7 linked regions of the Mus musculus genome follow. The protein of the gene in region 6 interacts with the protein of the main gene of each other region in a pairwise test. Links are inferred from orthologs where the notes say so. Each region holds a gene or a part of one and is shown on either strand. Other genes may lie near its edges.

Evidence for each region.
Region 1: the proteins of Ddit3 (region 6) and Tnfsf12 interact in binary tests that used the Homo sapiens proteins (3 or more experiments, as listed by UniProt). The two-hybrid records come from large-scale screens. The link is inferred for Mus musculus from reciprocal best matches to the Homo sapiens genes DDIT3 and TNFSF12.
Region 2: the proteins of Ddit3 (region 6) and Atf4 interact in binary tests that used the Homo sapiens proteins (3 or more experiments, as listed by UniProt). The link is inferred for Mus musculus from reciprocal best matches to the Homo sapiens genes DDIT3 and ATF4.
Region 3: the proteins of Ddit3 (region 6) and Batf interact in binary tests that used the Homo sapiens proteins (3 or more experiments, as listed by UniProt). The link is inferred for Mus musculus from reciprocal best matches to the Homo sapiens genes DDIT3 and BATF.
Region 4: the proteins of Ddit3 (region 6) and Cebpe interact in binary tests that used the Homo sapiens proteins (3 or more experiments, as listed by UniProt). The link is inferred for Mus musculus from reciprocal best matches to the Homo sapiens genes DDIT3 and CEBPE.
Region 5: the proteins of Ddit3 (region 6) and Hsd17b14 interact in binary tests that used the Homo sapiens proteins (3 or more experiments, as listed by UniProt). The two-hybrid records come from large-scale screens. The link is inferred for Mus musculus from reciprocal best matches to the Homo sapiens genes DDIT3 and HSD17B14.
Region 7: the proteins of Ddit3 (region 6) and Mcmbp interact in binary tests that used the Homo sapiens proteins (3 or more experiments, as listed by UniProt). The two-hybrid records come from large-scale screens. The link is inferred for Mus musculus from reciprocal best matches to the Homo sapiens genes DDIT3 and MCMBP.

What each region holds. Positions count from the first base shown.
Region 1 is NC_000077.6:69,686,084-69,689,953, reverse strand, and holds the end of Tnfsf12 (tumor necrosis factor ligand superfamily member 12), read left to right. Parts: intron 1-2,577; coding exon 2,578-2,702; intron 2,703-2,862; coding exon 2,863-3,114; 3' UTR 3,115-3,714; downstream 3,715-3,870. Other genes in the region: Tnfsfm13 (tumor necrosis factor (ligand) superfamily, member 12-member 13), read left to right, coding at 2,578-2,702, 2,863-2,997. UniProt on the Homo sapiens protein: Binds to FN14 and possibly also to TNRFSF12/APO3. Weak inducer of apoptosis in some cell types. Mediates NF-kappa-B activation. Promotes angiogenesis and the proliferation of endothelial cells. Also involved in induction of inflammatory cytokines.
Region 2 is NC_000081.6:80,253,965-80,258,261, forward strand, and holds Atf4 (cyclic AMP-dependent transcription factor ATF-4), read left to right. Parts: upstream 1-1,219; 5' UTR 1,220-1,721; intron 1,722-2,242; 5' UTR 2,243-2,334; coding exon 2,335-2,557; intron 2,558-2,669; coding exon 2,670-3,496; 3' UTR 3,497-3,581; downstream 3,582-4,297. UniProt on the Homo sapiens protein: Transcription factor that binds the cAMP response element (CRE) (consensus: 5'-GTGACGT[AC][AG]-3') and displays two biological functions, as regulator of metabolic and redox processes under normal cellular conditions, and as master transcription factor during integrated stress response (ISR).
Region 3 is NC_000078.6:85,706,641-85,709,944, forward strand, and holds the end of Batf (basic leucine zipper transcriptional factor ATF-like), read left to right. Parts: intron 1-1,902; coding exon 1,903-2,112; 3' UTR 2,113-2,447; downstream 2,448-3,304. UniProt on the Homo sapiens protein: AP-1 family transcription factor that controls the differentiation of lineage-specific cells in the immune system: specifically mediates the differentiation of T-helper 17 cells (Th17), follicular T-helper cells (TfH), CD8(+) dendritic cells and class-switch recombination (CSR) in B-cells.
Region 4 is NC_000080.6:54,709,656-54,713,834, reverse strand, and holds Cebpe (CCAAT/enhancer-binding protein epsilon), read left to right. Parts: upstream 1-1,660; 5' UTR 1,661-1,876; coding exon 1,877-2,386; intron 2,387-2,960; coding exon 2,961-3,296; 3' UTR 3,297-3,472; downstream 3,473-4,179. UniProt on the Homo sapiens protein: Transcriptional activator. C/EBP are DNA-binding proteins that recognize two different motifs: the CCAAT homology common to many promoters and the enhanced core homology common to many enhancers.
Region 5 is NC_000073.6:45,561,404-45,565,273, forward strand, and holds part of Hsd17b14 (17-beta-hydroxysteroid dehydrogenase 14), read left to right. Parts: intron 1-649; exon of another isoform or gene 650-664; coding exon of another isoform or gene 665-802; intron 803-1,511; coding exon 1,512-1,616; intron 1,617-3,870. UniProt on the Homo sapiens protein: Catalyzes the NAD(+)-dependent oxidation of L-fucose, yielding L-fucono-1,5-lactone, which rapidly converts spontaneously to L-fucone-1,4-lactone. Can also act on D-arabinose and L-galactose, with lower catalytic efficiency. Does not use NADPH.
Region 6 is NC_000076.6:127,289,455-127,293,949, forward strand, and holds the start of Ddit3 (DNA damage-inducible transcript 3 protein), read left to right. Parts: upstream 1-1,338; 5' UTR 1,339-1,437; exon of another isoform or gene 1,438-1,544; intron 1,545-4,257; 5' UTR 4,258-4,305; exon of another isoform or gene 4,306-4,495. UniProt on the Homo sapiens protein: Multifunctional transcription factor in endoplasmic reticulum (ER) stress response. Plays an essential role in the response to a wide variety of cell stresses and induces cell cycle arrest and apoptosis in response to ER stress.
Region 7 is NC_000073.6:128,699,156-128,702,769, reverse strand, and holds part of Mcmbp (mini-chromosome maintenance complex-binding protein), read left to right. Parts: intron 1-362; coding exon 363-527; intron 528-3,362; coding exon 3,363-3,451; intron 3,452-3,614. UniProt on the Homo sapiens protein: Associated component of the MCM complex that acts as a regulator of DNA replication.

The sequences.
Region 1 (3,870 bases), on a different chromosome or scaffold from region 6:
GAGGGGGGTGGATGACTGACTGACTGTGGGGCCTGAGGCCCAGGGAGCCTGTGGACCCAAAGGATGAGAACTGTCAGGTAACTCCTCACCCGTGCATCTTAGGCCTACCTTAGGTGAGGCCCAGTTCTAAGTGCTGGGAAGATAGTCGGGGTGAATAGGACAGCTGTCCTTGCCCTTGCAAGGGGGGATGAATACAGAGTTCATGTTTTGCTGACTGCTGGGGAACAAGAAGGGAAGTCAGAGATGGGCATGGCCGGGTCTGTTTGCTTGTCTTATTTTGCTTTGTTTTGAGACACGGCTTTGAATTCAGGAGCTTTCTTTCTCAGAATCCCAAAGGATCAGATTATAGACCTGTTCCATCTCTCTCTCTCTCTCTCTCTCTCTCTCTCTCTCTCTCTCACACACACACACACACACACACACACACACACACACACACACACACCACTCCCCCCCACTCCCCGCCCCACATATCACACACACACACACACACACACACACACACACACACACACACACACACCACTCCCACAGGAGAAACTAGAAGTCATTGTCAGGAAGAGAAGAGCTGGCGGGGGTGCAGTTGGGGGAGGAATACCATTATAAAGCCCCATAGAGAGAAGGAGCTTGGAGCATGGTGGGAGACAGGAAGAAGGCCAGGATGGGACGTGGTAGTAGTGGTGGGGGTGGGAGTGGGGTGGGGGTGATAGCCTTGGAGCAGAATCTGGGAAGTCATAGACTCTGAGGTCCAAGCTGACTACTACTTCCTTGTTGTTTGTTTGTTTTTTTTCGAGACAGAGTTTCTCTGTGTAGCCCTGGCTGTCCTGGAACTCACTTTGTAGACCAGGCTGGCCTTGAACTCAAAGATCCACCTGCTTCTGCCTCAAGTGCTGGGATTAAAGGCGTGTGTCACCATGCCTGGCTTTCTTTACAGTTTTCGACTACACTAGTTCTAGAGATTTCTCTTTGTTTTGTGGTGACATAATTTAGAGTCCTAGGCACGCTAGCTGAGCACTTTACCCCTGAGCTACATCCCCAGCCCTTTGCATGGCATGGCTTTTGGTAGCAGCTCTATTAAGATAGATCTCACAGCCGGGCAGTGGTGATGCACGCCTTTAATCCCAGCACTAGGGAGGCAGAGACAGGCAGATTTCTGAGTTTGAGGCCAGCCTGGTCTACAGAGTGAGTTCCAGGACAGCCAGGGCTACACAGAAACTCTGCCTCGAAAAACCAAAAAAAAAAAAAAAAAAAAGATAGCTCTCACATCCCATGCAGTCCGCCCACATGTATAATCCTGTGCTCTACTGTGACTAAAGTGCACCCTGAGGTGTAAACCGTTAATCACCAAAAACCATGGCTCACACCTGCAATCCCAGCATTAGGAGGCAGAGGCTGGTGCAGGCCAGTTTCTGGGTTAGAGACCAGCATGGGTAATATAGTGGACAACAGGATAGCTAGGACTGCATAGAGAGCCTGTCACAAACATGAGGCCAAGTCTGGTAAAGTGGCACATACCATAATCTCAGCACTTGGAAGGCAGCATGAGGAATTCAAGTTCATCTTCAACTGCATTGAAAGTCTGAGGCAGCCTAAGCTACATGAGATCCAGTGTCAAAAAATAATAGTAGTAATAAAAAGAGGAAGAAGCAGCCGCGCATCCTTTAGCCATCACATTATAGTCCCATCATGGCTAACCTCAAGTAATCACCTGCCCCCTCGCAGTCTCTATAGACTACTTATTGCAGGTATTTCCTATGCTTGGGAGCAGACAATATGTGGTTCTTTCACTGAGCACAATGTTTTCAAGGTTCACTCACATGCTAGCAAGCAACTCTTTATTCCTTTCTACAGCAGAGTAATGGACCAAGAGACAGGGATGTCATATTTACTCATCTGTTCATTTGCTGATGGACATTAAGAGTTATTTTATTTTTTTCTTAGTTTTGTTTTGTGACAGGGATCTCTATGTATCCCAGGCTGTTCTGGAACTTGCTCTATAGACCAGGCTGGCCTCAGACTCACATAGATACTCTTGCCTCTGTCTCCCAAGTGCTGGGATTAAAGGTGAACACTAAAGGTGTGCACCAGCAATGCTGGGCATATTCTTCTCATTTGTATAGGAAGTTTTCAATTCATAACCCATGAGTCTGTGGCCTGTCACCTGTTTTCAGTTGACTCAAATGATGCGGGCACGTGTGTATATAGTATAGTATAGTATAGTATAGTATAGTATAGTATAGATGTTCAGGACATAAACCGTGAAGTAAAATGTAAAAACCCCAACTCTTCTGCTGTAGCACTACTCTTTATTCTCCCCAGAAGCAATCACCAGTGACAACTTCCTGGTCATGTATGTTAGGTTTCATCACACAATACTTTATTATCACTTCGTGTACCATAAGGGCATGGCTCCACCTATACTCTGGGCAAGCTGTACCATGTATGTGTGTGTATACACACACACACAAACACACACACACACACACACACACACACACACTCTTAATGGATTCCTGGGGAATGTGTGTGGGGTCTTGTAAAGGGGCTTCTACTTATCCCTAAACATCCCCCATTCAGGTGTGGATGGGACAGTGAGTGGCTGGGAAGAGACCAAAATCAACAGCTCCAGCCCTCTGCGCTACGACCGCCAGATTGGGGAATTTACAGTCATCAGGGCTGGGCTCTACTACCTGTACTGTCAGGTAAGCCCTGCCTGGCTTCAGGGGCAGAGCAAAGGCTAAGGGGAGGAGGGACTGGCAAGGAATGGGTGGGAGAGGGAGACTCTGCGACTCATGAAGGAAGATGCCTGGCTTTCGATGAGGGAGGCAGAGGTCTGGATTTGCTTGCCTCTCTCTGTTCCAGGTGCACTTTGATGAGGGAAAGGCTGTCTACCTGAAGCTGGACTTGCTGGTGAACGGTGTGCTGGCCCTGCGCTGCCTGGAAGAATTCTCAGCCACAGCAGCAAGCTCTCCTGGGCCCCAGCTCCGTTTGTGCCAGGTGTCTGGGCTGTTGCCGCTGCGGCCAGGGTCTTCCCTTCGGATCCGCACCCTCCCCTGGGCTCATCTTAAGGCTGCCCCCTTCCTAACCTACTTTGGACTCTTTCAAGTTCACTGAGGGGCCTTGCTCTCCCAGATTCCTTAAACTTTCCCTGGCTCCAGGAGCATCACCACACCTCCCTACCCCACCCCCACTCCTCCACCCCCTCGCTGCTCCTTGGTCCAGTCCTGTCCTCTCCTCAAAGGCAGCCAGAGCTTGTTCACATGTTTTCCATTCCACAGACGTATCCTTGCTCTTCTTTAACATCCCATCCCACCACAACTATCCACCTCACTAGCTCCCAAAGCCCCTACTTATCCCTGACTCCCCCACCCACTCACCCGACCACGTGTTTATTGACTTTGTGCACCAGGCACTGAGATGGGCTGGACCTGGTGGCAGGAAGCCAGAGAACCTGGGACTAGGCCAGAAGTTCCCAACTGTGAGGGGGAAGAGCTGGGGACAAGCTCCTCCCTGGATCCCTGTGGATTTTGAAAAGATACTATTTTTATTATTATTGTGACAAAATGTTAAATGGATATTAAAGAGAATAAATCATGATTTCTCTTCTTTGGGGTTCAGAGTAACTGAAGATTGTGGGAAGGGGATTTAGGCTTTGGGGAACAGGGACCTGCATGCCTCCAAGCTGCAGTTCTGAATAGAAATCACAAAGGTACCAGAAAAAAAATGCAAACAAACAAACAAACAACAACAAAACCCACCTGGTCCTCTGCTCAAGGTGCTGCAGAAGCAGCCTCATTTTCCTAGCAAAGGACTTCCTCCTGCAGGGGAATCCCTGGCTAGGAGGAGCAGGGCCCTTCCTCTTGGCAGCCT
Region 2 (4,297 bases), on a different chromosome or scaffold from region 6:
TCCACTTAATGTAGCAGTGTGGCTGCTGTTTTGGTTTCCAGAGCAAAGAGAGGACATAGTTACCCTTTTGTTGCTTTTGCATGGAAAGACTAGGTAACTTCTGTATGTGTGCACATGCACTTGTGACTTCTTTGGGTATAAAAACATCTCATTATGTAGGCCTCGTGTTTTATGGTTGGTTCCGTCTCAGTAAACAATAATAAAGGCTCCTCTGAGGAAGGAGGATGGAGTTAGGGATATAGGGACTGGAGAGTTAGGTTCGAATTAATAAATAGCAATCAATCATATAATCAAGGACGACCTTGAACTATGGTACCCGAGCGCTAGGGTTGGGTTGTACAAGGCTTGCAAATAATCACTGAGCAGTAAGTGGCAGGCACTGTGCCAGTTGAGTGGTATTTGTGTGAGTCACTTAAACAGAAGTGGAAACTCTTTTTAAGATTTCCAGGCTGGAGTTGGAAAGAGCCTCTCAGCACTCTCAAAACAGCATCCTTTATGGTGAGGCCTTGACCAGTACCTGGGGCTCCCGATCACTTAGGCGGCAGGCTCACTCATCAGGATGACTTCTTGGGAAGGTGATACCTGGAAGTTAAGGCTTGAGAGCCAACTGAATAAACCTGATCTTAAGGGAACTGACCCTATACAAACCGGCAGTGAGGGCCTCTATGATGGGAGGATGGGCATAGGAGGTTAGACCTGAGGTTAGGCATGTTTCCCCGGTTCAGGGGAAATCGCTGAACTGGAGGAACCGGAATATCTCCCAAGAAGACCCCAACACGAACGCCCTGCCTCCAAGTGCCGTCCCTGTCCCAGGACTGACAGGAAGCTGAAGGTTTGGACCAGCTAACTCAGAAGGGTCTCTCCACATGCCTGAAGCCTGCCCACTCGGTTCTGGAAACAACAAATACATGAAAAGATGGCTTCCAGCCCAAAGGTCACGCCTGGAAGCTGTTTGCTCGGTGCGGAGCGATGCCGGAGAGAGCAAATACACATGGATCACATCTGACAAGAGATGGCAGGTGTGACAGTCTGGCGCCCGGAACCTCTGGTGGCTCCTCCCTTTCCACGCAGACCCCTGATCCTAGAGCGCCCAGGTGCAGAGCCAATAGGAACTTGAGGTTTAGGTGACTCGCCACGCCTGGGCCAATCAGCTCGACGCGCGCTCCGACGGCGTCTCGCGTGATAACCTGGCAGCTTCGGCTTTGACCGTCAGAGCTTTGGCTAGGTGTCCCACCCCGCCTTGTAAGACACCGGAAATTCGTCAACGAGCGATCCCTCCGCGCTCCGGAACCAGACCGCGGCTGGTCGTCAACCTATAAAGTAGTGCACTTTTCTCTCATGGGGCCTTTAGGACGATCTCTAACGCCACAGTTACCCCCCGAGCACAGCGGAGAAGGGTTGGGGCGGGCGAGGGCGTCAGTGAGAGGCGGTTTGGTGGCGCTGCGGTAGGATCACGTGACCACAGTGGGAGGATACGCGGTGTGCTGCGTCCCTGGCCGAGGCTATAAAGGGCGGGTTTAGGGCGTGCCGCCGCCATTTCTGCTTGCTGTCTGCCGGTTTAAGTTGTGTGCTCGGGTGTCCCTTTCCTCTTCCCCTCCCGCAGGGCTTGCGGCCACCATGGCGTATTAGAGGCAGCAGTGCCTGCGGCAGCGTTGGCCTTTGCAGCGGCGGCAGCAGCACCAGGCTCTGCAGCGGCAACCCCCACCGGCCTAAGCCATGGCGTGAGTATGGGGCCGGCCGCGGAGGGCGGGGGCCTCGCTGTGGTTGGGTGCGGCCCGGGCGCGGTGGCCGGCACACGCGGTTTTACAAGCGGCCGGACGCGTCGGCCTTGTTTGCGTTGCCTGCGACGCCGGCGCTCCCGGGCAGAGCTGGGCGGAGGAGTGTCTAAAGCGCTACTGCTGCCCCTTCGTCCTGTCTTAGCTTAATCATCTCGGGCTCACCGGGGTCCCCGTGTCATCCTGCGAACGTGGCGATGCCCAAGATGGCGGTGGGGCGGGGGTGTGAGTCACGGGGGCGGGGCGCGGCGGCCTTGGCCGTATTAGGACGCGAGGACAAGCTGCTTCCTCTGGGTGGCCGGTGAAGCAAAGCTAAGCCTCCATCTTGTGCAACCCGAGCTGGCGGCCGGGGAGGCTTACACAATGGCCTTGGGCCCGCGTGCTCTCCCTGTAGACGCTTCTGGGATTTGGCCATCCGGCATCTTAGATAGAAAGATGACTGGACTTGCTTTTGGGTCCCCATCCAGGCTCTTCACGAAATCCAGCAGCAGTGTTGCTGTAACGGACAAAGATACCTTCGAGTTAAGCACATTCCTCGAATCCAGCAAAGCCCCACAACATGACCGAGATGAGCTTCCTGAACAGCGAAGTGTTGGCGGGGGACTTGATGTCCCCCTTCGACCAGTCGGGTTTGGGGGCTGAAGAAAGCCTAGGTCTCTTAGATGACTATCTGGAGGTGGCCAAGCACTTGAAACCTCATGGGTTCTCCAGCGACAAGGCGGGCTCCTCGGAATGGCCGGCTATGGATGATGGCTTGGCCAGTGCCTCAGACACCGGCAAGGGTGAGTAGGACGGCTGTCCTGGTGTGCCCTTTTCATATGGATCTGGTGTTCTAATGGCTTTCTGCCTCCCGAATATGACATGAACCGTTCACACCTGAATTTCTTTTCCCAGAGGATGCCTTTTCCGGGACAGATTGGATGTTGGAGAAAATGGATCTGAAAGAGTTTGACTTCGATGCTCTGTTTCGAATGGATGACCTGGAAACCATGCCAGATGAGCTCTTGACCACGTTGGATGACACATGTGATCTTTTTGCCCCTCTAGTCCAAGAGACTAATAAGGAGCCCCCTCAGACAGTGAACCCAATTGGCCATCTCCCAGAAAGTTTAATAAAAGTCGACCAGGTTGCCCCCTTTACATTCTTGCAGCCTTTCCCCTGTTCCCCAGGGGTTCTGTCTTCCACTCCAGAGCATTCCTTTAGTTTAGAGCTAGGCAGTGAAGTTGATATCTCTGAAGGAGACAGGAAGCCTGACTCTGCTGCTTACATTACTCTAATCCCTCCATGTGTAAAGGAGGAAGACACTCCCTCTGACAATGACAGTGGCATCTGTATGAGCCCAGAGTCCTACCTGGGCTCTCCCCAGCATAGCCCCTCCACCTCCAGGGCCCCACCAGACAATCTGCCTTCTCCAGGTGGTTCCCGTGGGTCTCCTCGGCCCAAACCTTATGACCCACCTGGAGTTAGTTTGACAGCTAAAGTGAAGACTGAGAAATTGGATAAGAAGCTGAAAAAGATGGAGCAAAACAAGACAGCAGCCACTAGGTACCGCCAGAAGAAGCGGGCTGAGCAGGAGGCCCTCACTGGCGAGTGTAAGGAGCTAGAAAAAAAGAATGAGGCTCTGAAAGAGAAGGCAGATTCTCTGGCCAAGGAGATCCAGTATCTGAAAGACCTGATAGAAGAGGTCCGTAAGGCAAGGGGGAAGAAGAGAGTTCCGTAATAGGGTAGTCAGGTGCTTTGTGCTTGTACATAGTCTTGTGTTGCTGTGTTTGCTGTAATAAATTATTTTGTAGTGAAAGTACCTATGTGGGTTTTCAGTGTCATTCTTTGTAATAGACTTAACTGCAGACGTTCCTGGGTTAGATACAATAACTACCTGGGTATATCCCAGGGCTGAGCTGAGCTGTTTGAGACGGTGAAGATGAGGGAGCTCTGGGTTAATGAAAGGAACAGCCTGAATTCCACCTGTTCATACTGGCTTTGTGCCAGATAGCTGCCATGTAAGTACCTAGATGAGGTACCCGCCTTGAGCACACAGAGGATTAGGTTTTTCTCAGGCTTAAGGGATAGAGCTCATATTCCCTCTGACACAGATGGCTGGACTGTTTCCACCTGGTGGAAGGGCTGGGGTGATAGTAAACAGTGGCAGGTACTGTCTACAGAGGTGAAAATGAGCAATGTAGGCAGGAAGCTGGGAAGGGAACCTAGGCTTCCAGCTCCAGGGTCCTGGGCTACCTGCATCTTTACCTCTTAAATCTGGAAACTGTTAAAGCCTGCAGGGTTAAGAGGGATCTTTCAGCCTTCCCAATGCCAGTAGACTCACCTGAATGTTAGCTGTTGGGATGAATGTAGTCCATTGGGTTTGCTAATCTAGGATTCCTAAAACTATGGAATCCACCCGTAGTCTGGCCAAGAGTGGAGGAAGCTGTAGAAACCTTGACAATGTCAGGTATGACAAAAGGCTGGAAGTACTGCTTGCTCCCGTTTAGCCAGCCCAGACTGAAGCTGTTAGTTCTGGGCG
Region 3 (3,304 bases), on a different chromosome or scaffold from region 6:
GGGGGGAGCACGTGGCTGGAATGTGGGCGATGGCGAGATTGGAGGCAGATCCCTGAAAGCCCGAGGGCCACTGGCAGTTCCAGGTAATGAGACATCCTCTCTCAAACAAAATGTGGACGGTGCCCGTGGGAGTTCTTCTGACCTCCATGTGCGTGTCACACATGCGTGCACCTGCACCCATACATGTGTGCACACACATGGAAAAGAAAAGCCCAGATTCCAGAGTCCAAATTTCTTCCCAAATCCCAGATCTGCAGAAGAGCTGCCTGCAAGCTTCTGGCCTGAAATGAGGTTCCTTTGCCTCTCAGGGGACTTGGGGGAGGCCCCCAGGACTTGGCAAGGTTCTGTTTATTCAGGTCCGGGAACCCCATTATCTGGAGAAGTTGTTGTTTCTCAGCAACTTCTATGCCCCAGTGCTGTGGTGGCTGGTAAATGACGCAGTCCCCACAACACTGGAAGACATTTCTGGACCAAGCGCTTGTTGCCTCTGCACAGAGTACAGGGCTCCTCCTTGTTTGAAGTTTCACCCTCTATGGTTTTAGTTAGCCAATGTCAACTGTGGTCTGAGGATACTGAATGGAAAGTTCCAGAGATAAACAATTCATACGTTTTAAAATAACTCCAGCTATAGTATACTGTCATAAATGTTCCATTCTGTGTTTATTTATTGATAATCGCTTCCTATGTTTAATAAACTTCATCAGAGATTTACAGGTGTAGGGAAGCTCATAGTGTCTTCTGGGTATTGTCCAAGGCTTATGGATGGTTTGGAACAGGATCGCAAAACCCAGGAGGGAGCAGAATAGAATGCCAAGTCCATCGTAGATCCTCAATATTCAGAAAGGCTATAAGCACCCTAGCACCTGAGCAAAGCAGGCAGAGCGCGTGAGGCAACCACAGACACAAGGCACTTGGCGTGTGTTGGGGAGTAAGAGGCACAAACTGCTTTCCTCTACCTGGGGCTGGCCCGACTGCCAACCTAGAGGTGCATACGTGCGTGCGTGTGTGTGTGTGTGCGCACACACACACACACACCACGGCAAGGTTTTCTGAGGTTTGTCCCTACCAAACTTGTATGTGTATTTCATCCCTAGTGAAACAACAGAGTTGAGGGGTGGTGGTGGCCACAAGGGGGGATTGTGTCACTAAAAAGTACTAATGTCTTTCTCAGTTTCTCTTCTATTGTTTTTCTTCCTTCTCTCTTCCCTCCTTTCCTTCCTTTTCAGTGTTGCAGATTGAACCTAGGGCTCCATTGCTTCTTCACACTAGGCATATCTCCCAGCCCTTGAGAATACTCATCCATTTAGAGACAGGGTGACAAGGGACTGTCTCTCTGTATTTCCTTTCTAGCCTGGGCTGGCTTCAAACCCCCAATCCTCCTGCCTCCCCGTGCTTCATGACAGGACTGTGCCACCACTCCCAGCTTGTCTCTCACTAGTGAGGGGATGGGACTGGTTATTGTAAGTGGATTGTTAAAGAGACCCCCTCTCTCTTATACACAAGCTCCTTTTCTAAGCTCCCCACTTGCCCATCCATTTTCCCATCATGCACCCCTCAGCCACCATGTCCTTAAACCTTCAGAACTCTGATCTAAATAAACTACCCAGCCTCCTGGAGTTTTCTTATAGTGACAGGGAAGAGACATCTTAGGTGAAATTGCTATTCCTATTAGTCAAAATAGACAGCAATCAGCAGTTGCCCACGGGTCAACCTTATACTTACGCACACCCACATACAAATCTATGTGTATGTGTATGTGTGCACAGGAATTCTCAGTTGCCCTCTTCATGGCTGTGCTAATAGAAAACTTTAGCTCCCTGTGTACCACCTTTCTGCCATCATGTACCACCAACCTTCCCCCGACCCCCGACGCGAGTCATCATGCCGATTGTCTCTTTACAGGAGAGTGAGGACCTGGAGAAACAGAACGCAGCTCTCCGCAAAGAGATCAAACAGCTCACCGAGGAGCTCAAGTACTTCACATCAGTGCTGAGCAGCCACGAGCCCCTGTGCTCCGTGCTGGCCAGTGGCACCCCCTCGCCCCCCGAGGTGGTATACAGTGCCCATGCCTTCCACCAGCCTCACATCAGCTCGCCACGCTTCCAGCCCTGACCTTCTGGACAAGAAGGGCGATGCTACTCCCGTGATCCCTTGGAGGGGCATGTAAACTGAGGCCGGGCTGCCCTCATACCTCTACCCAGAGGCCCAGTGGCAGAGGCCTGGACAAGTATTGAACACAAGAACTGTAGTGGTCAGAGGGACTTAAGGCCTCCCAGGGAAGTATAGTCAATGTACTGGACTCTCCCAGGGAAGTCGAGCCAATGTACTGGACCCAAAAAATGACAAGTCAACCCTGGACTGTCATGAATGATGCCCAAAATACACAGCACAGAGGGAGGAGGGCAGGGGGTGGATAGTTTTCTAAATAAATATTTTCTAAAAAACCAGCCCTGGAAAGCGGCTTCCCTCACTTCTCCCATCAGCATCGTGCGAACTACTTTCTCTTGATTTGGCACCTGGTTTTCCTTCTTGGCTTCAGGGAGCTCTTCCAGACTCTATGAATTCCACTTAGCTGTCTGCTCCATGTTTTGTTCCCTGTTTGGGAAGCTGGTCTCTTCAAATCATCTTCAACCTCTAGCTATCTCCCTCACACTCCTCCACAGTGTGACACCCCCCCCCCCAGCCGTGCCTCTTGCACGGTGCTTTCTCTAAATGGTGGAGCCAGTCACTCTACAGTTAGAGAAAGGGCTGTATAAGACAGGTCAGGGAAATCTCAGTTTCTCCCACTTGTACACCTTCCTGGTTGGCTGCTGCAGCCCTACAGTCAAGTCTCAAGGATGCTGTGGCAGGTTCCATGCCAGGAATATGGGTAACACAAACGCAGCACCTCCCATTCAAGGCCGTAGGTAACCTTTTGCCACACCCTGCCAAAGACGCCCTTAGAAATAGGACACTCAACCTGTACACTGAGTGTCCCAAGGTTGAGTAGCTCAGGGCTGTGTTCAATTTGGACATCTGGTAGAAACCAGTGTTCTTCATTTCCCTTTGATGTCCACCTGTTTCTCAGAAGTCCCCAGGCCACACATCTGTTGGTCTTCATGTTATGCCTTTACCCATAACAGTGCCCAGAAGCAAGAACAGCCGTCTCCTCCAAGGTTGCTTTGGAGCCTGTCCTTCTCCATAGTCTCTGCTGACTGGCTGGGCACCAATGAGGTAGATAACCCAGGGCCAGGGCTCTGTTGTAGGCCCAGCCCGTAATCCCTCAGAATAGCAGAATCAGTAGAAGCCACCTTCAACTGCCATG
Region 4 (4,179 bases), on a different chromosome or scaffold from region 6:
AGCACTCACTGCTCTTCCAGAGGACCTGAGTTTGACTCCAGGCATTCACACTGGGTGCCTCACAACTGCCTGTAATTCCAGCTCCAGGAGATCTGATGTCTCTGGCTTCCATGGGTACCTGGAAGTGTGCACACACATACACAAACACACACACACCACACACACACACACCACACACACCACACACACACACACACCACACACACCACACAAACACACACACACCACACCACACACACACATACCACACAACACAACACACACACACACAACACACACACACACTCACATACTTTAGAATAATGAAAATAAATTCATTTTAAAAATTCTGTCCCTCCCCCTAGAACATCTGTTTGCAATAAAAGAGCCAGGAAGGTATGGTAGCACAGCTATCAACTCAGCTCCGTGGAGAATGAAGCAGGAAGATGAGAGTTCAAGGCCAGGCTAGGCTAAAAGGGAGGCTCAACCTAAAAAAAAACAAACAACTGAAAAGTGACACACTTCTCATGTCTCTGTGTTCTTTTCTTGTCAGTAAATCCAGAACCGTGTCTGAAGCAGGGCCACAACCAAACTGGAGAGAGCAGGAAGTTCCGAACAAAACAGAAAAATGAACTTTGGGGGTTAGTAGAAGATCAAGAAGGGCGGGCAGGCAGCTACCAGCTTCTCCTTCGGACCCCGAAACAGCCCCAGGAAGAGGTGAGGACAAGAGAGAAGACTTCTCAAGCCTACAAGAGGAAGTGGACCCGAGAGACACGCACAGGTCAGAAAACAAGGGCCTGCATGCAGCTCAGGGCACAGGAAATAGGAGGCAGAGCCTCAGGCCAGCGCGGGTGGGGTCAGCCAGAACAGCTTTTAGGGTGGAGCAACTGGGACCTCCAGCAGATCCTTTCTGTTGGTTCTGAGGCTGCAGCTTGCCTGGGCCTGAGGTACAGGACCCATGTCTTGACCAGAAACCTCAGCTATGTCCTGGCAGCCCCGGACTGTGCCAGGCTGCTAGCCATAGCCAGATCTGGAGACATGCACACAAGCCCTGTGCAAAGACCTAACCGAAGAACCTTAATAGGGGCCCTCTGGAGGCAAAGGCAGGCAGAACTCTGTGAGTTCAAGGCCAGCCTGAGCTACATCGTGAGACCCTGTCTCAAAACTAGCAAATGGGCATACCCTGTACTAGGGCCAGGGGTAGCTTGGTCCTAGAATCTACTACTACTTCCCAAACCCTTCAAACAATGATGGTCTACACAGAGAAAAATGTCTTGGGAGGTGGGGCTACAGAAGGAACTGACTTACCCCGGGGTAGGTGGAGTTCAGGACTTGGGGGTGGGGGCGGGGAGGGGGGGGGACGGGACAGGGAGGAAGATGCATCAAGGGAGGAGTTTAGACCAAGTTGGCACTGGGGGAATGCTTTGTCTATTGGCTCTGGCTTGACACCTCACTCTGCACAGGTCTCTTTGGAAATCGGAGGAAGACAGATATTCAGAGAAGCTACTCTGGGCAAGGGATTAGAATCCCTTGAACTCGCAGGGCAAAAAGGGCCATTTTCTCAAACAGCAACTTCTGGACTGTGGCTGGGGCCTTCGCAAAGAGCGCCCTAACTGCTAAGCACCCCTCCCTCCGGGGTGTGCCCTGCCCCTCCCTTAGTCACCCCAAGGAGAGAGAGGAAAAGGGAAGAAAGGAAGAGGTACTGACTACAGAAGGAAAGGGAAGCAGAGGAGGAGAGAAGCCACGTAGGAGTTGGTGACGGAGAAGACCAGAGAGGGCAAACCTAGGGCAAATCTAGGACCGGGGGAGATCCAAGAAAGGGCAGGCTGAGCATCCCAACGGGCGGGCGCCCCCAGCACAGGACCCAGGGGCGGGGAGCCAAGGGGGCGGGCCGGCCATGTCCCACGGGACCTACTATGAGTGCGAGCCTCGGGGTGGCCAGCAGCCACTTGAGTTCTCAGGGGGTCGAGCTGGGCCCGGGGAGCTGGGGGACATGTGTGAGCATGAGGCCTCCATCGACCTCTCCGCCTACATCGAGTCTGGGGAAGAACAGCTACTTTCTGACCTCTTTGCCATGAAGCCAACGCCTGAAGCCCGAAGCCTTAAGGGCCCAGGAGCCCCCTCGTTTCCTCACTACCTGCCGGCTGACCCTCGGCCATTCGCCTATCCCTCACACACATTTGGCCCAGATAGGAAGGCTTTGGGGCCTGGCATCTACAGCAACCCAGGGAGCTACGACCCCAGGGCTGTGGCGGTGAAGGAGGAGCCTCGTGGGCCAGAGGGCAACCGAGGCACCAGTCGAGGCAGCTACAATCCCCTGCAGTACCAAGTGGCACACTGCGGGCAGACAGCCGTGCACCTCCCCCCGACCCTGGCAGCACCTGGCCAGCCCTTGCGTGTCCTCAAGGTAAGACCAAGGTAGCTCTCCCCGCTTCTTCCCCCCAGGGTGGAGCAAGGTGGGTGGTTGAGGGAATTCTGACTACTGGGCTTCCCTAACAAGTCTATGTTTGGTGCTCCTCTGTGAACATGCCCTACCCCAAGGTCCTGTTTCCCAACTCTGTGAATTTATTTCTTAGAACTCGGCTGTGTCCTGAAGACACTTGTAATAGCTGCTCTGCCCTGATCTCAGGCAGGACCAGGTTTCCTGCTGTGCACTATACCTCTTGCTTCTCTGCTGCCTGCTTTTGGATGAGGAAACATGGCTGACTAGAATTTTAGAACGGGAGACTTATTACAGACAAACCAAAGGGAAGGGAATAATGAGAGCATGATAGAAAGCTTTGGTCTCAGACCAAGGACCATATGTATCTGGGTTACGGTCCTTCACAGAGACAGGGAGATGGATGCCTGGGAGATCGGAGCTCTCTGGGAGTCCTGTATCCCTTTGAGGCCTCACATATGCTCTCCCTGCTGGGTTTCCTGCTTAGCCTTCACTCTGCCTCCTGGTGGACCCTCACCTCTCTGTCCCCCTTACCCTCCAGGCCCCTGTGGCAGCTGCTGCCCCTCCCTGCAGTCCCCTTCTCAAGGCACCCTCCCCTGCTGGCCCCTCACACAAGGGCAAGAAGGCAGTGAACAAAGATAGCCTGGAGTACCGACTGCGACGTGAACGTAACAACATCGCGGTGCGCAAGAGCCGGGACAAGGCCAAGAGGCGCATTATGGAGACTCAGCAGAAGGTCCTGGAGTACATGGCTGAAAACGAGCGTCTGCGCAACCGCGTAGACCAGCTCACTCAGGAGCTAGACACTCTGCGCAACCTCTTCCGCCAGATCCCTGAGGCTGCTAGCCTCATCAAGGGTGTCGGGGGCTGCAGCTGAGCCTGCCTGGCAGACTGTGGGCACCAGACCCTAAGGGCCCCGCCCACCCTTCTAGGTCCCCAGAGTCCTGAACAGGCCAAGCCTGAGACAGAGATCGTGGACAATGGCAGCCAGTAATTGGGAAGGTCGGGACCAAATGATTCTGTGGCTGAATAAACTGCACTGTTACTTGATGCTGAAGCTGTTCACTGGGTCTTGGGCCTGGGCCTGGTGGGAGGGGATACCCATGGAGGACCCCAAGGGCAGGGAATACATGTGGCTAGTCCACATAGTCTTGACTCCATGTCCAAATGAATGCCTAGAAATACTAACATGCCGCCCACGGCTGGCTCTGTCCATCACACCCTCCAGCCTAGCCTCAGCCTGTCCCTCTGCTTCTCTGTCACTTCACCTCCATGTCCACCCCACCTACCCACTTGGTCCTTTGTACATCGAGTGTGTGCTTGCTACCACCACAGTGCATGCCAGTGTCTGGAGCAGCCTCTGCATTCTGCCCTGAGAGAATCCTGGGGCTCTGATGACCCCAGTGCCACACAACTCCAGTGCCAGCCCCACTGGCCTAGGGCCTGCTCTCTGACTTTAGGCCTCAGAGCTCATTTCCCAGGTGACCAAGAGAAAGCTTTCTGATGACTCTGCCATATTTGTGGTCCCTTGGCTCTTGATCCAGCATTCTGCCTCTTGTCTTGTTCTACATCCTCACTCCCATCTTTATCCTTCATCCCCGCAGGCCACTGGAGAAGGTAAGCCCAGGAGAAACCAGTTAGGATCTGGTGTGTATGTGAGAACCCTGACCCCGAGGAAGCCAATGACAAGTCAGTCTGTGCCTGCGACTCCCCCCTCCCCACTCCAGGTGGTTTCTTCCCCATAGAACTGCGGCCCAGGA
Region 5 (3,870 bases), on a different chromosome or scaffold from region 6:
CAGAACTCTCCGTTTTTGAGGATCTGATGCCCTCTTCTGGCCTGCACAGGCACTGCACACATGTGGTTCCCAGACATACATGCAGGGAAAACACCCATGCATATAAACTAAAATAAAGATGTGAGTCGCTTGCATCCCACGCGCAACACAAACATTTGGGAGAACCTGGTTCGGGTTAGAGTAAACTGGAATAAGATAGAAGCTGGGTTAGGTGGTGAAAGCAGGGGCCCTCTGCAGCTGCCTAGAGTCACATCGGGAGATTGTCAGCCAGGGACATACCCAGGAAAGAGTCAGGGGAGTGGGACAAATATTAATTGAATAATAGCTCTGGACCTGGTTCAGGGAAGAGAGTAGGCAAGGGGCCTATCAGAGACTGCCATTACGGAAGGTGGAGAGGGTGTAAAGCTGACTGGCATAAGGGAGAGGGTGGGCGGGTGGTTCCAGAGTGTAAGGAAGAATGTGTGTGAGGTGCGAGAGGGACCTTCCCCTGAGGAGAGCAGAGAACCCCCATCGCAGAGCTGGGTTCAGACACTTCAGAGTCCTCTGAACGTCTCCTGTGTTTATGGCTTTTGACTTCCTGAGATCCAGCCGCACTTACTGTCTGTCGCTGGTCCCTTTAAGAGGAGAAGAGGGGCCCCAGTGGGCAGGGCTCCCTGTACTGGAGATGTTCTCACTATTGCAATATCAGTTACAGGACCAGAGGGCATGTGACTACCATGACAGTCCCCAGGGATCTCTTATTCCAAGGCAAACTGAGGAGAGTGTGTGGCCTGTGTGGCTTTCTCTGCAGGGAGTGGTCCAGGCAAGAGGCTCTGAAGTTGCAGTGTTGAAGATGGCACGGAGGAAGGGGGGAAGGGTGGATTTGGGGGGTGAACCACAGTAGGGATCCTCTTAGGTTCCTGTTCCAGGAGCCTCCTGAGGACCTACTCAGTGCTCAGTCATGTGTCCTGGGAACAGCGCCAGTGCCCACAGCAGTGGAGAACAGACTGGGCGTAGGGAAGTCATACAGGGAGGGGGCTCCAGAGAGCTGCAGGAGGTGGCAGGAAGCGGGACACATCCTGAGGCTTTCCCTGCATCATGCAAGGCATGATCACAGAGTTCTTTGTACAGCCCAGACACACCATCTCTCTCCCCCGAGTAAAACACTTCCTCCTAGTTGGGCTGAAGAGGCAGGGTTCTGTATGGTGTCTAGGTTTTCCTAGCTTGATGAGGACTGGAGATGGAATAGCAGATGAAGGGAGATAAAAGTCACAGAGACAGACAGACAGACAGACAGACAGACAGACAGACAGACAGACAGACACACACACACACACACACACACACACACACACACACACACACAGATCCCTTGATCCCTTGCAGAGGTGCTCAGACATACCATAGATGTGCCCCTATGCCTGTGCTCATTGAGATCCACTCACTAGACAGTGGTCACAGTCCCACACTTGAGGATGTTGGTGGCTGTTCTCCAGGACCAGTTGCAAATGACTGATCTATCCTCCCCATAGCTTGCCCTCCCCCACCTGCGGAAGAGCAGAGGGAACATCATCAACATCTCCAGCTTGGTCGGGGCCATCGGCCAGTCCCAGGCCCTTACCTACGTGGCCACCAAGGTAGGCCAGCCCCTCTTCTCTCCTGTCCTCTTGTAAGGGTTACAGCTCTGAGGGGAAAGGTAACCCTGCAGTTGATGTAGGGTAACAGCTTGGATGGTAAGCTATCCTGATGGTCAGGATCCTCCCTCTGCTCTGGTGAGAAGCAGGAGAGAACTGGGCAGAAGATGGGGTTTATGTAGAATTTCTTGCGGGAGATTTTCCGGGGTGGGGATTGGTGCGATTTCAAGTTGAGAGTTCGTTTCTACTCTGTAGGGATGGGGCTGGGCTAGATCCCACTGTTTAGGGCAGTTAGACTGTCCTTTGGGTGGGGCCTGGCATTTGGGGGACCTCAGGAGAGATGTGACCACTCACCTGCCTGTCTTGCCTGTAGGGGCTTACACCTTTCCTAGCTATTTGGGTTTCAGCTTTCAGCTTTGAGCCTACAATCCACCTCCTCTTTCTTTCTTTCTTTCTTTCTTTCTTTCTTTCTTTCTTTCTTTCTTTCTTTCTTTCTTTCTTTCTTGAACTCACTTTGTAGACCAGGCTGGCCTCAAACTCAGAAATCTACCTGCCTCTGCCTCCCATGTGCTGGGATTAAAGGCATGAGCCACCACTGCCCGGCTTATTTTTTAAAATAATTTATATTCTCTCTGTCTCTGTCTCTCTCTGTGTCTCTGTCTCTCTTTCTCTCTCTGTCTCTCTCTCTCTGTCTATCTCTATCTCTCTGTCTCTCTCTCTCTGTCTGTCTCTGTCTCTTTCTGTCTCTCTCTTTCTCTTTCTCTCTCTGTGTGTGTGTGTGTGTGTGTGTGTGGGTGTGGGTGTGGGTGTGGGTGGTAGTGGTCATAGAACAACTTGCAGGAGTCAGCTCTCCGCTACCACGTGGGTCTCAGGAACAGAATCAGGAACCTGGGCTTGGCAGCAAACACCCTTCCTTATCCTCACCAGTCAGATTGTATTTATTTTATTTATTTTATTTAATAATCTTTGAGACAGAGTGTCTCTGTATAGCCCTGGCTGTCCTGAAACTGTACAGCAGGCAGGCATTGAACTCAGAGTGCAGTAAAGTCATTAAAAACATACTTATTTATGTTTATTTTGAATATATGAGTGTTTTGCCTGCATGTGTGTATGGGGGCCTTTCTGGTTCATGCTGAGTTCAGAAGAGGGAATCTAACTCCCTGGACCTGGGCCATCCGGTGGTGCCGGGAATGGAACCTGCTTCCCTTGGAAGAGCAGTCAGAGCCGGGCAGTGGTGGCACAAGCCTTTAATGCCAGCACTTGGGAGGCAGAGGCAGGCAGATTTCAAAGTGAGTTACAAGACAGCCAGGGCTACACAGAGAAACCCTGTCTCGAAAAAACCAAAAAAAAAAAAAAAAAAAAAAAAAAAAAAGAGCATCAGTGCTCTTAACTGCTGAGCCATCTCTCCAGCACTGATTTTTTTTTTTTTTTACATTTTTTTTTGTGCTTTTTTTTTTTTTTGATATTTTCTTTATTTACATTTCAAATGTTATCCCCTTTCCCTGTTTTCCTCCTGGAAACTCCCTATCCCATGCTCCCTCTCCCTGCTTCTATGAGGTGTCCCTTCACCCACCCACCACTCCCATCTCCCTGCCCTTGATTCCCCTACACACTGGGGCGTCTATCGAACCTTTATAGGTCCAAGGACCTCTTCTTCCATTGATGCATGGCATGGTCATCCTCTGCTACATATGCAGCTAGAGCCATGTGTACTCCTTGGTTGATGGCTCAGTCCCTAGGAGCTCTGGGGGGTCTGGTTGGTTGATGTTGTTCTTCCTATGGGGTTGCAAACCCTTTCAACTCCTTTGTAGCCGCCAGCAGCCACAGGTTCCTGGGTTCCTGCAAGGAAAGATGTGGTTGGATGGGAAAGGCGGTGAGAGAAATAACAAGCCAAGACAAAGTTCTCTGATCAAAGCCTAATGTTTACTTATGAGTCTGAGCTTATGGGTGTGGGGGACCCATCCCCCACCATTCCAGGATCTGCTCAGGAAAACAGGTTCAGCCTCTCAGCAGGTAGTGCCATCTTGGAGGAAGAAGCAGATGTGGTAGGACAATAGACTTTACCTAGGTCAGAAGACTCCACCCTAAGTAAGCTAGCTACTGTGGCAAACTAGGTTTGCCACTGTTGACTGCTCAAGGCTGGGGGGAGGGCACACTCCTTCAGTCCCATTACAGATAGATGGTTGTGAGCCACCATCTTGCTGGGAATTGAACTCAGGACCTCTGGAAGAACAGTCAGTGTGCTTAACCGCTGAGC
Region 6 (4,495 bases):
TTTAGGCCAGGAGAGACCATCTGGTCCAACCCACCCCCCACCTCTACTAACAGAAGGGGAAATGAAGGTCTGGAGCGAAGGAGCAGTCTGGCCAAGGACCTGTCACCGTCGCACCATCCAATAGCAACCGGTCTTGGTTCAGTTTCTACTTAAACTCTGGCTTGCCCCTCTTGAGTCTACGACAGACTATGTAATAGGCCACCACATGGCCTCTGTTTTCATGGCACAAAAAAAAAAAAATACGTTTTGCAAGATGTTTTTACTTTTACTCAAGTTTTCTCCACAGAGCTGCTTTTTACCTTTATCGTTGTTTAATTTACAAATGAGTAAGGTAGAATCCTTGGACAAATTAAACTAGAATCTGTGTTTCCTCTGATGACCCAGTCCAGGGCAATCATGCGTTCAAGTGCATGCACGTCCCAGGCTCTACTGTAGGTCGTGAACTCAGACAGCTAGAGGCAGGAGGCCAGCTCCTCAGCAGGGAGTCACAGGACTCGCTATCTCGGAGAAGGAAGAGGGTGGATACTGGGCTTAGTGAAGGGCGTAAGAGCATCACACAAAGCAGGGGTGGGATGAGGAGGAGGCAGCAATCTACACTCTGTAAAGAACTTCAATCCTAGCACGTAATGGACGATTCAGAAACAAGCGTTAAAGGTGCCTCTCTGAGAGAAGCGGGTGGACTATCAAGGAACTCAGTCTTTGGGACGCATTAGAAGGCTAAAAGAGGAGGAGAGCTCTTAAAAGATTCGAGGAGATGTCAATCCAGGTGAACAAATTGGAAACTTTAAAGAGGTTCCAGAGCCCCGGTGCCCATTAGCTGGGAGGGGCCAGGGAAAATGGGAGCCTTTCATGGAGGAGTAAGTTAAAGGTGATGGGAGGTGGGCAGACAAGTTCAGGAAGGACAGCCGTTGGGGCCGTTGGACACTGGGAGCTGGCGCTCCGCCCTCTTTCCTCTCTCCCCCATAGCCCCCCTCCCGCACCTCCCACCACCATCGACGTCCCCTGCGCGTGCGCGCGCGGACACCGGTTGCCAAACATTGCATCATCCCCGCCCCCCCATCCCCTCCCTCGCCGCGCTCTCCTCCGCGCGCGCGCATGACTCACTCACCTCCTCCGCGAAGCCGCGTGACCCAAAGCCACTTCCGGGTCCGAGACAACGTAGACTCTCAAGCCAGAGGGCGCGATGGGGGTGGGGCCGTGAGACTCCTGAGTGGCGGATGTAAGGGATGAGGCGGAGCCAGTGCCAGCGTGCCGCTTTCTGATTGGTAGGCTCCTGGACCCTGCCCCCCCCCCAGGAGGGGCCGGACAGCATAAAGGATACTCGCTCTCCGCTCTTGAGGTCAGTTATCTTGAGCCTAACACGTCGATTATATCATGTTGAAGATGAGCGGGTGGCAGCGACAGAGCCAGAATAACAGCCGGAACCTGAGGAGAGAGGCGAGTACTGGCTCCGTCTAACCCTTACCTTCCCATCCTGGCCAGCATAGCTATTTTATAAAGTTGGAGACAACTGTTCTGGAGGATGTAGCCCCACCCCTTCCACTGTAAGCTTGTAGACTGGGAAGGGTGAAGGCCGGGAATCCCTGATTCAGGAATGGTGCTTACAGGCCCTCTCTTGCATTGGGCGATTGCATTCCCGTTCCCTTGTCTCGAGTTGGTCCCCACTCTGCAGAGGGACTCCGGTTGCCTTCGGGAACTTGTCTCTGTAGTGCGAACTGCGGGCCAGCTTAGGCCTGGGCAGTTCGCAGGAAAGGCGGGGCAGCAGGACACACCCCCAAAGTCGGGGACTCTGGCTGTCTCAGCCTTTTCTTCACCAGCCTCATTCCCCCCAACTCTTTCAAGCTGAAGCGCCTCAGTCAAGGGGCCAACATGGCCACGTTAGTAGCTGACTCTCAAGTTCAAGAGAACGCGAAGACTGACAGATCTTTGCGAGTGGGGGTGCTGGTGGGAGGAGCATAGATGGGTTTTTCCCTTTTCCCCAGAGGTTTCTAGGTTTCCATACAAGAGAGCAGCCTGGATCTCTTTAACTATGGGAAATTATTTGGGATCTCTCCAGGGTCTTCTGCTTCTCCCAGGGCTGATTGATCTCTGCTTCTTTCCTCAGTCCCGTCTCCTAACTAAACTGTGTAACCATTGCGTCAGGCCAGCCCACTGTTTGTCTCTGCACCCTCAGGCCTGGGGCTCCTCTGCTGATGAAAGCCAGGTCCCACACACTGGAAGACCAAGGGAGTTTTCCCTAGAGGACAACCCTGCAGAGAAACACTCAGGGCAATATTGCATCTGCAGTCCCCAGAGACAGCCAGCTCCGCTCTGCCTTTAGGCTCAGTGGGCTTAATTCTCTATAAGGGAACTTGGGGGAGGGGCTTTTTCCCCATTCATTCCTAACAAATGCCTAATAAGCACCCACTATGTACCAAGTATCTGGGGACCCAGGGTATATTAGGAGCAAAAGATAAAACTGTTCTCAATAAAACTTACATTTCAGTATAAAGCAAAAGGGAAAAAAAAAACAAAAGCAGGGCAGAATAGTTCAGGGCGGTGACTAGAGGTTGTCATCAGAAGCCAAGCCTGTGAGCCAAGCCCCGGTGTTAGAGCTTTATAGAAGGGAGAGGCTGAGCAACAGAGTTAAGATAAGCATGCCATGCCGGTATCTTTAGGAACAGGACTAGAGTAAGCAGGAGAGGGTGATGAAAGGAAACTCAAGCAGCCGGTCTCATAGAGCCTTGCAAGCACCCTCATGATGCTAATCTTTAACAATCATGAAACAGGAAGCCATTGGGGGATCTGAGCAGAGGAATGATCATAGCACATGCATTTAATTCCAGCACTCAGAGAGGCAGATCTCTGAGCTCCAGGCCAGCCAGGGCTACATTATGAGACCCTGACTCAAAATAAATACAAAAACAAAGGGTTAGGTATGTAGCTCAATAGTACACTGCTTGCCTGGTATGTAGAGGACCCTAGGTCAACCCACAGCCGTGAAAATAAAGTAAAAGACAAGAATAGAAACAGGAGGTCTCAGCTGAACATAGTGGCACAGCCTTTAATCCCAGCACTTGAAAGGCAGGCAGATCTAAATTCAAAGCCAGAGAGTCTACAAAGCAAGTTCCAGGACAGCAAAAGCTACATAGTGAGACCCTGTCTAAAAGAGAAAGAAAGGAAAGGAAAGGAAGAAAGAAAGGAGAGATTTCAAAGAGGCTTCCAAAATAATCCAGGGAAAGAAATGTATGGTAAATTTATATCTGGAGCCAGGCAGTGGTGGTGCACGCCTTTAATCCCAGCATTTGGGAGACAGAGACAGGCGGATTTCTGAATTCGAGGCCAGCCTTGTCCACAGTGAGTTCCAGGACAGCCAAGGCTACACAGAGAAACCCTGTCAAGAAAAACCAAAAAAATAAATAAATGAAAAATAAAAAATTGCATCTGGAAATAATGTAGTAATGAGAAATACTTAGGTTTGGGGTACTTTTAAAGTTGTCAGTGCTTTAGGCTGAGCTGTGGTATCTGAGAAAGGGGCATCAAGGATACCAAAGTTTTTGGCTTTCAGCACCTAGAGTTGCCATTTAGTAAGAACTATACAGCCTTGGTAGGAAAGGCCTTTCATGTAAGCTGAACGCCTGCTCAACACTGCCAAGGAGCTGGAGATCCCAGAGCAGGTCTGCACTGAGGCTGCCAGTGGGGGGATGGAATCTGAGCAAGCACTGCTGAGTTTACTCTTCCTTCCCTCTAGTTCTGTCTCCCTTTGGCGGACTTGAGGTCTATCTGGGATTTAGAGAAAACTTAGTTGGCCAGGACTTTGCTATTATGTAATCAAGACGGCAAATGTCAGCAACTAAAAATAAAGTTAAGCCTGCCTCTGTCCTTGGAGTTGGCTTCAGGGACACACACGCTGCAAGACACACGCCTGTGTGTGTGTGTGTATTACAAGAGAAGAAATGGCTTCAGGGACACACCCGCTGCAAGACACACACACCTCTGTATGTGTGTGTGTGTATTACAAGAGAAGAACTGGAGCCTGGTCTGCAGAGTTGTTGAGTTCCAGAATTCCAGGATGCCCAGGGATGCACAAAGAAACCATCTCACAACCCATTTTAGAAAGGATCTAGAAAAGGGCTAGGAGGAGTTAGAAAGGATCTAGAGAGGGGCTAGGAGGAGTTAGAAAGGATCTAGAGAGGGGCTAGGAGGAGTTAGAAAGGATCTAGAGAAGGGCTAGGAGGAGGCTGGAGGTAAAGGACTGTTTTTTCCTTTTCTCCACAGTGTTCCAGAAGGAAGTGCATCTTCATACACCACCACACCTGAAAGCAGGTAATCTTGGCCACCCTCTCAGTCAGCTGCGAATGCTGCTCATGTTGCTTTGCTGGGGGAGAGTTAGACAAGGCCTTCATCTGAACAAGCTTTTGCTGTCAGACCATGTCTTTCTCTGACCCCATAATGTTGTTTGAGAGCTGGCTTTCGAAGTCAGCCTCAACAATGGCAATTGGTTTGTCTTCCCAAC
Region 7 (3,614 bases), on a different chromosome or scaffold from region 6:
AAGCTGAGGCTGGCCAGTCTCAAGTTGGAGGCCATCATGAGTTATGCAGTAAATTTATTATTTGAATGTTTTCCTCTTTTCATTCATCGTTTGGGGTTTGGGCAGTGCACCAGCTGCTGTGTAAAGGCTGGAGGACAGCTTGTAGGAGTTGGTTCCGTCCATCTGTGTGGATCCTCAGAATTAAGCTCGGAATCACATTGCAATTGGTTTGTGTCTTAATCCAGACAGATTGAGCACACTAAGGTTTTAAAAATATCCCCCTCCTCAACTCGTGTTTCCTAATTCCCTTCCACGCTGAGAGCCGCCGCCTCTGAGGTAGGCAGCTGAAGGAACTTGGGGATCATGGATCTTCCTCTTTCCAGGCAGACTGCCAGATTCACCTGCAGCCCCAGCTGATACCACCCAACATGGAGGAGTACATGAACGGCCTGCTCTCAGCTGTGCTGCCGTCCGTGCTCAACAAGTTCCGGATCTACCTGACCTTGTTGAGATTCCTGGATTACAACCTATCAGACGACATAACCAAGGTACACCTAGTCAAGCAAGACTCCTGTTACCTTCTGGGGTTCATGCAACTTACTGCAGTTACTTGCTAGGCAGGGTTAGTGTTGGGCAACTCTAGTCTTCATTGTGCTCTTCTGTTTAAAAGAGATTTCATTTTTTGTGCTTTTTCTTAGCAGCCTCCTTTCTTTCTGCATTTCGGTTGTTTCTGTTTGGTTGGTTGAAGTATTTTCACACTGGGAGCCAGCCAGCCCCTTTATGTCAGTCAGCAAGTGCTCTTCCTCTCATCTCCAGCTCCTGCCGCAGCCTTGTGTTGTCCCTCACTTAGGCCTGACAGATGGGTTCACTACATTAACACAAACGAATCTGCTGCTTTCCAGGCTGTTCCACAGCCCCCCAGTCACACTAGGACTTATTTCACAGGTGCTAGCCAGTGTCACAGGACACTTAGTGTATCATCTTACTAATTATCACTTTGTGCTATTGTCTTTCAAACCAGAGGGGAAAGCTGAACAAGAAAATACAGTTTGTGTTGCCCTTCTGAGTTGTTTGTGGTTTTACTGTATAGCCTAGGCTGGCCGTAGACTTAGAAGAAATACATGGCTATAGGCAGACATCATGCATAGCTTTACACACTGGTCAGGATTTCCTTGTGCAGCTGCCTAAACCAAGGTTGTGTCTTCTGTGACAACTTCTTCAAGCTTTTTCTGTGACCATTCTTTTTTTTGTCCATTTGTTTTATGATGCTGGGTTTCAAACCCAGGGCCTTCACTGTGCTAAGCACCTACCACTGCTCTCTCTTCTGACCCCACTGATCCCACTGTGCAGATCAGGCTGGCCTCAAAGTCAGAGAGATCTGCTGCCTCTGCCTCCTTAGTGCTGGGATCAAAGCTCTTAGCTATTCCATCGTCTGTTCCCTTCGTGTTCCGCTCCCCCCCCCACCCCCCCACCCCCCCGTTCTGTCAGCAGTAGCTGTACTCCTTACAAACATGCCTCTAAAACCCAGAGGAGTTGTCAGTCCCGAGATCCTATTGTCTGTCCTACTGAGTTTGCGTGCTTCTTAATGTGTGCATTATTTTGGTCAAGTCTTTAGCACCCTGTTAAAGAAATTGTTAATCCCAATCCAGGTTTCTGCCTGGCCTTAATCATTTAGTTCCCAATAAAGCCTCACACAACCTTTATATTTACAATAAGCTTTAAATACCACAAGAGCTGGGTCGTTATCTACCCTCTATGCCATTAGAATCTACCTTCTATCGTTAACCCCTTGTTATTACTATGTTTCATCTGGGATGCTCTTAATTCCAATTGGCCAGCCCTCAGGGCCACATTTTCATGACTCACCTAACTCATGGCAACTTTACCTCCCTTCACCGTCTTCTCTCCCTCCTGGTTCTCCTCCCCGCCCCCCCAACCCCCACCGCAGGCCCAGGAGCCCTGAAACCTGCCTGTGCCTCTTCTGCCCAGCTACTGGCTGTAGACATCTTTATTCAGAAATAACTTGAGGGCAAGGTCACATAGAATCACTTGGGTCTATGTGCGTAGGGACTCTAGGGCAACCAGATCTTGAGGAACCAATATTAGTATTAGAATACAAACTGCGTCAATCCACTGCAGCAGCCTTCAAATTTTTAGGGGCCATTGTTTTTGGTTTTCTGTCTTTTTTTAGTTCCTTCCTGCTGCTTTCTCTCCCACTGGCCCTCATTACACTTACGTCAGTACATTTGATGGTGAGCTGCGGATCTTTGAAGCTGCGGTCATTTTCCCTTATTTTTCTTTCTGCTTCAGTCTAAAAAGCTTTTGTTCACCTATCTTGAAATTTGATTAATTTTTGTGCCTGCTCAAATTTTCTACAATTATTGCTGTTAATTGCCTTATTTTTTATTTATAGAATTTCCTGTTTGCTTCTTTTTCAACATTATTTCCTTATTGATGTTCTCTGCTCGGTGAGGCACTGTTCACATAGTCTTTAGTTCTTTATACAATAGTCACCCCTTTCCAAGAGTGATGCATGCTTGAGCCCCAGGAAGTGCTTTTAACTGGAGCTAGTACCTGGTCTCACGTACACTATGTAAGGGAAACATAATGGTGTATAGATAAGCTTAATGTATATAGCAAGCTATTCGTGGTAACAACAGAGGAACAGCGATAACAGGCTTCAAGTAAGATTAGGAAAGGCGGGCTGGTGAGATGGCTCAGTGGGTAAGAGCACCTGACTGCTCTCCGAAGGTCTGAAGTTCAAATCCCAGCAACCACATGGTGGCTCACAACCATCTGTAACAAGATCTGACCCCCTCTTCTGGAGTGTCTGAGGACAGCTACAGTGTACTTACATATAATAAATAAATAAATCTTTAAAAAAAAAAAAAAAAAAAAAAAAAAGATTAGGAAAGGCAGCCTTGCAGATCAGAGCAGCAGCGCAGGAACTCCAGCCCTGCCTAGAGGACATCACCTGAGGAGGATGGAGTGTGTAACAAGCTCAGATGTCACAGCCTCAATACTCTTACCAAGAGCCACTGTTTTCTTGTATAAATGGTACCCAAGATACTGGCAGTTTCCATGGTTTTGACAGAGCTGAGTGCAGCCATTGTACTTGCTGTATTGGGCCCAGGCAGGTCTGTAAGTTACCGTCCCCCCGCACCGTCGCCGCAGAGGGTGCTGGCTGCTAGGCTTGTTCGGCATCTCAACCGGGCCAAGCTGAATGTAGAATGTTTTCCGTGTTGCATTTTGTAATGGGCCTTAAGTTTTGTTTTTTCTACCATTATTTTTACCTCAATCAAGGATCATGTTTCCTTTCCTCTAAAAAGTAAGGGAATTGTTTTGAAGGGACACTTTTACAAGTGTGTTGCTCTGTGACACAGGCGGTTGAAGATGATTTTGTGGAAATGCGTAAAGATGACCCTCAGAGCATCACGGCTGATGACCTCCACCAGCTGCTTGTGGTGGCTCGGTAAGTGCGCTGATCCAGGTCACCTCAGCTGCCGGCTGTGTGCATTTGATCTGCTCAGCAGTGTCTGAGGCAGAATTCTAAAAACAAAGGAACTTCTCCTTCCAAAGACATCGAGAATTGAACAGATGGACAAAGCTTTTGTCTGAAGATTGTAGTTCAGATC